Coturnix japonica: one gene and its partner. The protein of the gene in region 1 binds, or shares a complex with, the protein of each later gene. Links are inferred from orthologs where the notes say so. Each region holds a gene or a part of one and is shown in the gene's direction. Other genes may lie near its edges. The genes, in order: NRP1 and PLXNA4.

What was found.
Region 2: the proteins of NRP1 (region 1) and PLXNA4 are in contact, whole or in part, in a cryo-EM structure (PDB 7M0R), measured with the Mus musculus proteins. The link is inferred for Coturnix japonica from reciprocal best matches to the Homo sapiens genes NRP1 and PLXNA4. Residues at the interface, in NP_032763.2 of Mus musculus: Arg80, Tyr84, Asp126, Tyr127, Glu128; in NP_786926.2 of Mus musculus: Glu272, Lys340, Lys343, Lys345, Leu349.

The regions. Positions count from the first base shown.
Region 1 is NC_029517.1:12,644,381-12,648,203, forward strand, and holds part of NRP1 (neuropilin-1), read left to right. Parts: intron 1-2,007; coding exon 2,008-2,152; intron 2,153-3,823. UniProt on the Homo sapiens protein: Cell-surface receptor involved in the development of the cardiovascular system, in angiogenesis, in the formation of certain neuronal circuits and in organogenesis outside the nervous system. Mediates the chemorepulsant activity of semaphorins.
Region 2 is NC_029516.1:2,401,226-2,405,048, forward strand, and holds part of PLXNA4 (plexin-A4), read left to right. Parts: intron 1-2,061; coding exon 2,062-2,330; intron 2,331-3,823. UniProt on the Homo sapiens protein: Coreceptor for SEMA3A. Necessary for signaling by class 3 semaphorins and subsequent remodeling of the cytoskeleton. Plays a role in axon guidance in the developing nervous system. Class 3 semaphorins bind to a complex composed of a neuropilin and a plexin.

The DNA.
Region 1 (3,823 bases):
CTTTTGTTTTGTGATCATTTATTATACTTATCTTTGTAACAAAGTAAATTGATTTGTGACATAGCATATATAAAAGATGCTCAGAAAGTGAAGTTATACTGTGTACTCCTCTCTCCTCCCCCATGAAGAATATCAGTATGTATTTTAAATGAACAGTCAAAATTGAATCACAGGCAGCTCTTCACTACAAAGGACAATGATTCAATATAATTATGATTCAATATAATTCTAGATGCCTATTGAATTCTAATGCCTATGTGTCAGTACTCTAGTATTGATGTCTTTTATAAAACAGTTGTCATTATTATATGTTGCTATTAAGACTACTATTAAAAAGGAAGCAAAGATTCCTCAGATACATCTGTCTATTTTCTACACATAAAATGGCATTCATTCTTTCACATGCAGTAGGTAGCTTTTTGATCATTTGACCTATGTTGGAATTCAAATCTAATAATATATAATTGCATGTTAATTAGTTCTGACAGGCTATCTACATGTGAATTCTTGACAACTTTCTTCCAGGCACCTTCAGAACATGAGATCAGGTATTGCCCCTTGAACCACCTCAGAGTTACAGTCTTCACTAAGAAATAATAGCAAAAGCATTTACGTAGAAATTACCCATCAACTCTGGCTTATGTGACTGCAACATTGTCTTATGCGACTGGCACTCTAACCAATGGCCAGAAGGGATTCTGGACCATCCGCTAGACACAAGTGTAAAACAAACATAACAGGGCTTTTAGGACTGCACTAAAAACACAAGCAGCTGTCAGTTTTACCTGTGCTTTTGGGCAATACAGTCAGTTTTTCCTATGGCTTCGGTTTTCTCTGTCCCCAGGTCAGTAAGAAGGCCAAGTTTTGTTCTCATTCAAAATAAGGGCAGACAAGTGCTGACTTCTTCCTGAAGAAAGCTTCAGACCTCACAGTTATGAGCTGGAATTAGCAGCACTTCTAATCAGTTCAATAAAGATTATTTTTATTGATTTGTAATTTAACTATTAACAGAAAGAAAAGTCCAAATCATTTTACTTTTTTTATATACATTTAATATTTTGTTGTTTATTCTCCACAGGGCCTTCTGAAGTTATTTTTTTTTACATAAATTAGTCCAAAAATAACTCTGTTTAATCATCTAGACTTTGAAACATTTCATGGGAAGAAACATTTCTTTGTGCAGTCAGTTCATTCTAAGGATCTATAATCTCCATGGATACTATATGAAGGTTTTGGTTTAAGTACAAATTATAACTTGTCCCATATAAGAAATATCAATGACAGGTGACACTGAAGGTATCAGACAAATGCAATTGAGAGCTATATTATGGCTGAAGAACCCAGAGTGCAACTCAGACAAGAGATTTTTTGTTTGATAGGTACCTTCGCTGACCTGCCTTCCCTGTTAAATTACATTGCAGTTTTGTCAGGAAGCAGCTCTCTTCTTTCTTTCATTCTTTCTTTCTTTTTTTTCTTTCTTCCTTTCTTTCTATTCTTATTCAATAGCAGTCTCCCTGGAAGAACTCTTGCAGCTACTGTTACTGGAGTTTAATTTATGCCTTTTGAAATAACTACAACTTATGAAACTCTGTCACTGGGGGAAATCAGATTGAAATTTTCTCTTGAATAGTTGGATTATTATTGTAACCACTTAAAAGGTGACAGGATCTTCACCTCAGTCATTTTTTTTCCCTAAGAAGTGTTGAAAATGTCACCCAGTTAAACCCCAGATCAGAGCGTCATTTAAAAACATGTCTCATTAAACACTCAGCTCTTGTTATGACCCTGATGGATTGGTTGCTACCGAGTTTATGAAAAATGAAATGCATTACTTTTCCGAGAAGCTTTAACTGTGTATTTTCCATTCTCATTTAGGATGTGGAAGTCTGACACTTATTAAATGGTTAGAATCTGGCCTACTTCTCACCTAATTCAAAGGCTAGAGAGTGAAGAAAGCGTTGAAATATCTTTTCTTTTTTAACAAGCAGCATTTGTCATGCTTTGCAGACGTTTGAAGGCAACACCAACTACGATACACCTGAACTGCGGACTTTTGAACCTGTATCGACGAGATTCATCCGCGTCTACCCTGAGAGAGCCACACACGCTGGACTGGGACTTCGAATGGAGCTGCTGGGCTGTGAACTTGAAGGTAATTGCTCTGCCAGAGATGAATGCCCTTTATTATTTTCAAACATACATTTGGTACTTGGACTACTGCTGAACACTGCTGTTCTTGCACAGGCAGCACATCATACTCTTGCTTCCGTGACTGCCATTAGTGCTGTTTCTTGGACTAATCAGTTCCTTCTGGGCAGACGTTCGAATATGCTGAAGGCACAAATATTATTCTCTCTCCCATCCTTTGTTGAATCACAGTGATATTCTCCACATGGTTTCTGTTCCCTCAAGCAAACTTATGATTATGCTTTCGAGAAGAATAGAGCTATTAGGAGAAAATGAAGACAGAAACTCGTATTTTCTGTTACAATGATACAACCCAGAAAGAGACATTTTCTGAGAATGAGAAGGGGGAAATTACACCTTTTGCTCCTTCAAAGGATGTGAAAGTCACACAAGACACTATGATAGGTAGTGATTACTTTTATGGACAGGATCTGTGTTCTTCCTTTTTAAGGGTGAGGAAGGTCTTTTTTGTTCCACACCATGCTTTCATTTTGCAATAGTATGTAAAGAGATGAAAGACCAGGAAAAGCAAAGTTTAGACATTTATTCTTGGACTATGACATGAAGTATTATTATGCTTTGATTTTTGTTATATAAACAATAATTATTTAACATCATAGATAACTACAGAGAGCACTACATGAATTTCACAATGTTATCTGGTGGATGAAGGTACAGTGGCTTGGCTTATAAATCACAGAGCTTAGCAATATGCATCTAATAACAAATCATATTATCAGGGGTATCATATGATACCTCAGAAAGAAGTTGCTGAACAGGCTCCCAAGATGCAAAACTGCTCTACCTCCACTTCTTTCTCACCATTTCATTCCCACAGCAGAGGAGTGGAAAACATTACTGTGAGAACTGCTGATCTCTCTGTTGTTTTTTAGTGAAGGCCAAATTGAATAAGTGTGCTTTTTACTTGGCCCAGAAAGTTGGGAGTTTGGAAATGCTTCTTAGTTCCTGCAGGAAGTCCTCATTTCCTGTGAGAATTCTTGGTTCCTGCAGACTATTGTACTGCTTGCTCAGAAAAGAGAAAAGAAAACTCAGCACCTGCCCTGTGTAAACTTACAACCCATGGGTAATGTCCTCCTGCTACAGGGGTCCTGTAGCCACCTTCACATCAAGAAGTAAGGTTATGGATCACCTTACAAGAACATGTGGCTCAGTGACATGGAGGAGCCAGAGAAGACTAACTAGGCAAACTGCAGCAGCAAGTATTGTGTTTCCCTGTTGCCGTGAGCAACATGGGACACATCTACTTGCATTCATCTTCCCAACTCTAGAGCACTTCGGAAGGTTGCTCACCTACAGGTCATCCATGGACAGGCAGGGTCAATTTCCATTCGCCCACGGGAGAAACATAATAAGAAAAATTCGTTGCATAACTGTATCTTTTGGAAGGAGTTGAATGAAGAGAAGTCACTTGAGATTTACTGAGGAGGATGGATATTGAGATGAGAAAAGAAGCATGGAGCTAGGCGCAGACAGGAGTAAAAAATCAGATCTCCAGCAGTAATGAGCAAGGAGAAGCTTTGTATCTTACAGAGCATCCCAGGGGGCCTATAGGAATTGATGGCAGAGATGTAGGCAAGCTTGAGGCTATACAGGGGCATGAAGATCAAGATAAAAA
Region 2 (3,823 bases), on another chromosome or scaffold:
AGAGTATCTGAACGCTACAGAGTTTTTAGCATGGATGCTCTCATATGAAGATATGTGCAGAGAGACACAGAGTTAATGTTTCAGTCTGCCACCTTTGATTTCCTTGGGCACATTCAGACTTGAATGGGACTATGAGCTACTTGATCTAGCTGTAGGTGTCCCTTGTTCATTGCAGGGAGTTTGAGTAGATGACCTTTAAGGGTCCATTCCAACTCAAACGGTTCTATGATTCTATGATCTCCCCTTCCTAATTATCTTTTTCTATTTGGTTTTCTGCCTCCTTAATCCACTCTATTGCTTCTACAGTTCTTTCAGTGTCAAAGTCTTGGGATACAGGTAAACCAGGGAAAGCAGTTTCCATTCTGCTCCTTACCCTGTAGCACCTAGATGGAGCCAGCACTTATTGGGAAGAGGCCCCAGAGATCCTCAAGTCAGCAGGTCTTTCTTATTTCCAGCTCATTTGCTAATTAACTGCTTCCAGATGCATTACAAAATCCTTCTCTTGTTATTTTTTTTTAATACTACATAGTAACCTGGGGATAGACGATACTAAATGTTCAAACAAGTGAGTTAAAAATAATTATTAGAAGGATGAGTGGTAGTGGTTGGTTGATTGTCTCAAGCTGTTTAGTAAGTAATTTATTTTCAGTTTGCAAAAACAGTTAAGATCTCTCATTTCCAGAGTGAAAAAGTAACGATTCTTTATGGGGACTTGCATGACTTGTTCATTTAAGCACACTAACTTGGATTAAAGCACCAAAACGAGGTGGTTAATACATTCTTACAGCAGAGGCATGTATTGATCTGTGCTGTCAGTCTCCTGCTTCCAGGAATGTTTTTTGGAGGGATGAAAGAAATGTGGAGGAATGAGTTCGAGGTTCTCATTTAGGACTCACTGGTGTAGCACATAAAGGGATGAAGTATACCCACGGAGCGTGGCTTGATTTTGATCCATAGACAGAGAGCAGGAAAGGATTATGCCCACTGTAGAGTGTGGAATCCAGGGTTTAGTGTTGAGATCCTAAATTGTTCTACACCAAACATGTTTCACCAGCCTTTCACAAATGAGACATACACATCATCTTATCCACTGCCCTGTCTCTAAACGATCTCACCTCCCAAACCCCAGGATCCTACTGCCTTAGGACATCATTGAAAATAGGTTCCAGCTCCGTGCTTTCTGACACCTTCTTCTATCTGTGGTTCAGTGGTGATGGGTTGATGCTGGACTACAGTCTTTTAGTGTTGTTTTTTTTTCCAACCTTAATCTTTCTGTGATCTAGTTCTTCAGACCAAGACCCACCTCCATGCTCACCACCTCAGTTTCTGTCTCACTGTATCTCTTCATCTCCTCAAAACAAGACACCTGGACCCCTTTCTCTCATTATTTTAGTACTGTCTTTCCCAGCTCATTAAGCAGGGTCCCAAACCCATGCCTCATACTCCTTACATTGCACCTTCCCTGTGTTTAGGCAGCTTCTGAAGTGCAGCTGGTATGTTGTTGTCTGCTGGGACGAGGAGATAAAGAGACCTACATAGGTCCAGACCAACAAGAGACCCATGTAACCCCATGCTTTCCAACACTGACTCAGACTATTTTTCTCTTTAGGCAGGTTTCTTGCAGGGATTAAAAAGAGATGTTAAAGGGGGATAGAGTGAGACTTCAGTCTGACAGCAATAAGGATACAATATGCTATGATACCACATCCAGGCATCAGCAATTTCCTCTGGATGTGCTGTTCGGAGAGAGAGTAGCAGAGCTTGAAAATAACCACCTGGCTGTGGTTGGAATGTCTGTCTGTCTTCCTAACTATCGAATGACTCTCTCTCTTAAAGAACTATACTCCAAAACGTAAAACTTTTCTTTCTTTTTAATGTTCTTTGCTGTTGGAGACAGCTTTTCTGTATCTCAGAGCTGACTTGTATTTGTTGTTGAGTTATATAGCTGGAAGAGATGGAGGGCTAAGAGCAGAGAAGTAGCACAGTGTGTATGACTCACTTGGGAATGTCCTGACAGTGAGCAGTGAAAGAAAGGTATAAACTTTTTTTCTTCTCATACAGGTCCCTGGCTATAGGCAGGAACGGGTGGAGAAGGGCCTCAAGCTCTTTGCACAGCTCATCAACAACAAGGTTTTCCTGCTGTCCTTCATCCGCACACTGGAGTCCCAGCGCAGCTTCTCCATGCGCGACCGTGGCAATGTGGCCTCGCTCATCATGACAGTGCTGCAGGGCAAGCTGGAATATGCCACGGATGTCCTCAAGCAGCTCTTGGCTGACCTCATAGACAAAAATCTGGAGAGCAAGAACCACCCCAAACTGCTACTCAGGAGGTAAAGATATCCAGGGCTGGGCAACCTGCGACCCACTATTTAATACAAGCATGCAGTTCCATTTTGGATGAAAATGATGCATTTGCTTGATTTTGGTTCATGGAACAGAGTATGAAATTATATATAGCCATAGTTCATATGACCCTGTAGAGCTGGCATGAAGCTGTTTGCAGGGAAAGGTGGATAAGGCATGTAGAGATGAGTGAAGGCTTTGCTTTCCATTACTGGTTTGCTGCTCTCTTCCTTCAGCCAGTGATTGGAAATTTTACTCCTATTGCATTATCTGTATATTTTAATGTGAATCTTCAGAAAACTTCATAAGAGCAGCATGAGGCCACATTTCATAAGCCTTATTGTGGACTTGTGCTAGACCAACAAGTATATGACATAGTACAGGCTGTGTAATTTACTTGGACTATGTAGTGAGTAAATTGGAAGTTGCCTTATCATGCCTGAGAGGTGGACAAATCTGCTGTGCTTCAGGTTTCTGAGTTACCTACATATGTAGTCTGTGTCCGCTGCATTGTGTGATCTCCTGTCTCTTCCTGATCATTGGCTTTTGGAGCCAGTTGAACCCAGAAAGCAGAGCTGAGCAGGACAACAGAAATGGTTTCATTTGGGTTTGTGCTTCACATTCTAATCTCCAGAATTGTGTGGAAAACTTGAATATGCTGCTCTGTAGTTAATATAGTTTCCTTGCTTAGGGAAAGGCAGCATTTTCTCCTTTTAGGATCATATTAATCTTCTTTCTATGGTCTGAACCAACCCTTCTGCTTGAAGTCAGAACTTTAAGTGAAAAAGGGGATGGATGGCCTTTGCCACTGCTCAGAGCAGTGTTTGAGGTGCTCAGAGCTGATTATAATGGATGGCTCAGGCAGAGGAGAGGTCTGTGGTGCCTGCTGGGAAAGTTTTCTTCTGACCCACTGCCCATCATGAGGTGCCAGCAAAAGGAGGAGCAGCAGGCATTTCTTGGCATTCAGAGTAGCAACACCAGGGGCAGAAAATGGTCTTCACTTCAGCATTGTTTGACACCCTGAGTCCTATAGCCTGGCTGGCAACCTCCCTCCAGCAGTCCTCAGCCTTCCTCTCTGTGCTTTACCTCTGATGCTTGTTGTCACTGCCTTCTTCCAGTTATCCCTTAATTTATCTTCACCTTTCTTTTCCCCTCTCTCCATCTCCTTATCTTTTCTGATTGTTCATCCCTGTCTTTTCCTGAGTCCCCCATTTCCCCCTTTTCAGCGTCTTCCAGCTCTTTTCTAACCGTAATCCCATTTGTTGAGAATGCACTTTGGCCTTTGTCAGGCCACATGTGAACGTATGTTTGGCTCCATTCCATGACCCTGACTGAGGGGAGCACAGGGCAGACAGGTTGGGTTTGACAGATGGAGTCACTAGAGAGAGACACAGCAATGATCACTGTAGACAAAAGAAATGAGACCGATGTTATGCTGAAAGACTAAGGAACCTAAAAAGCAACCTACAGCCCTAAGCAA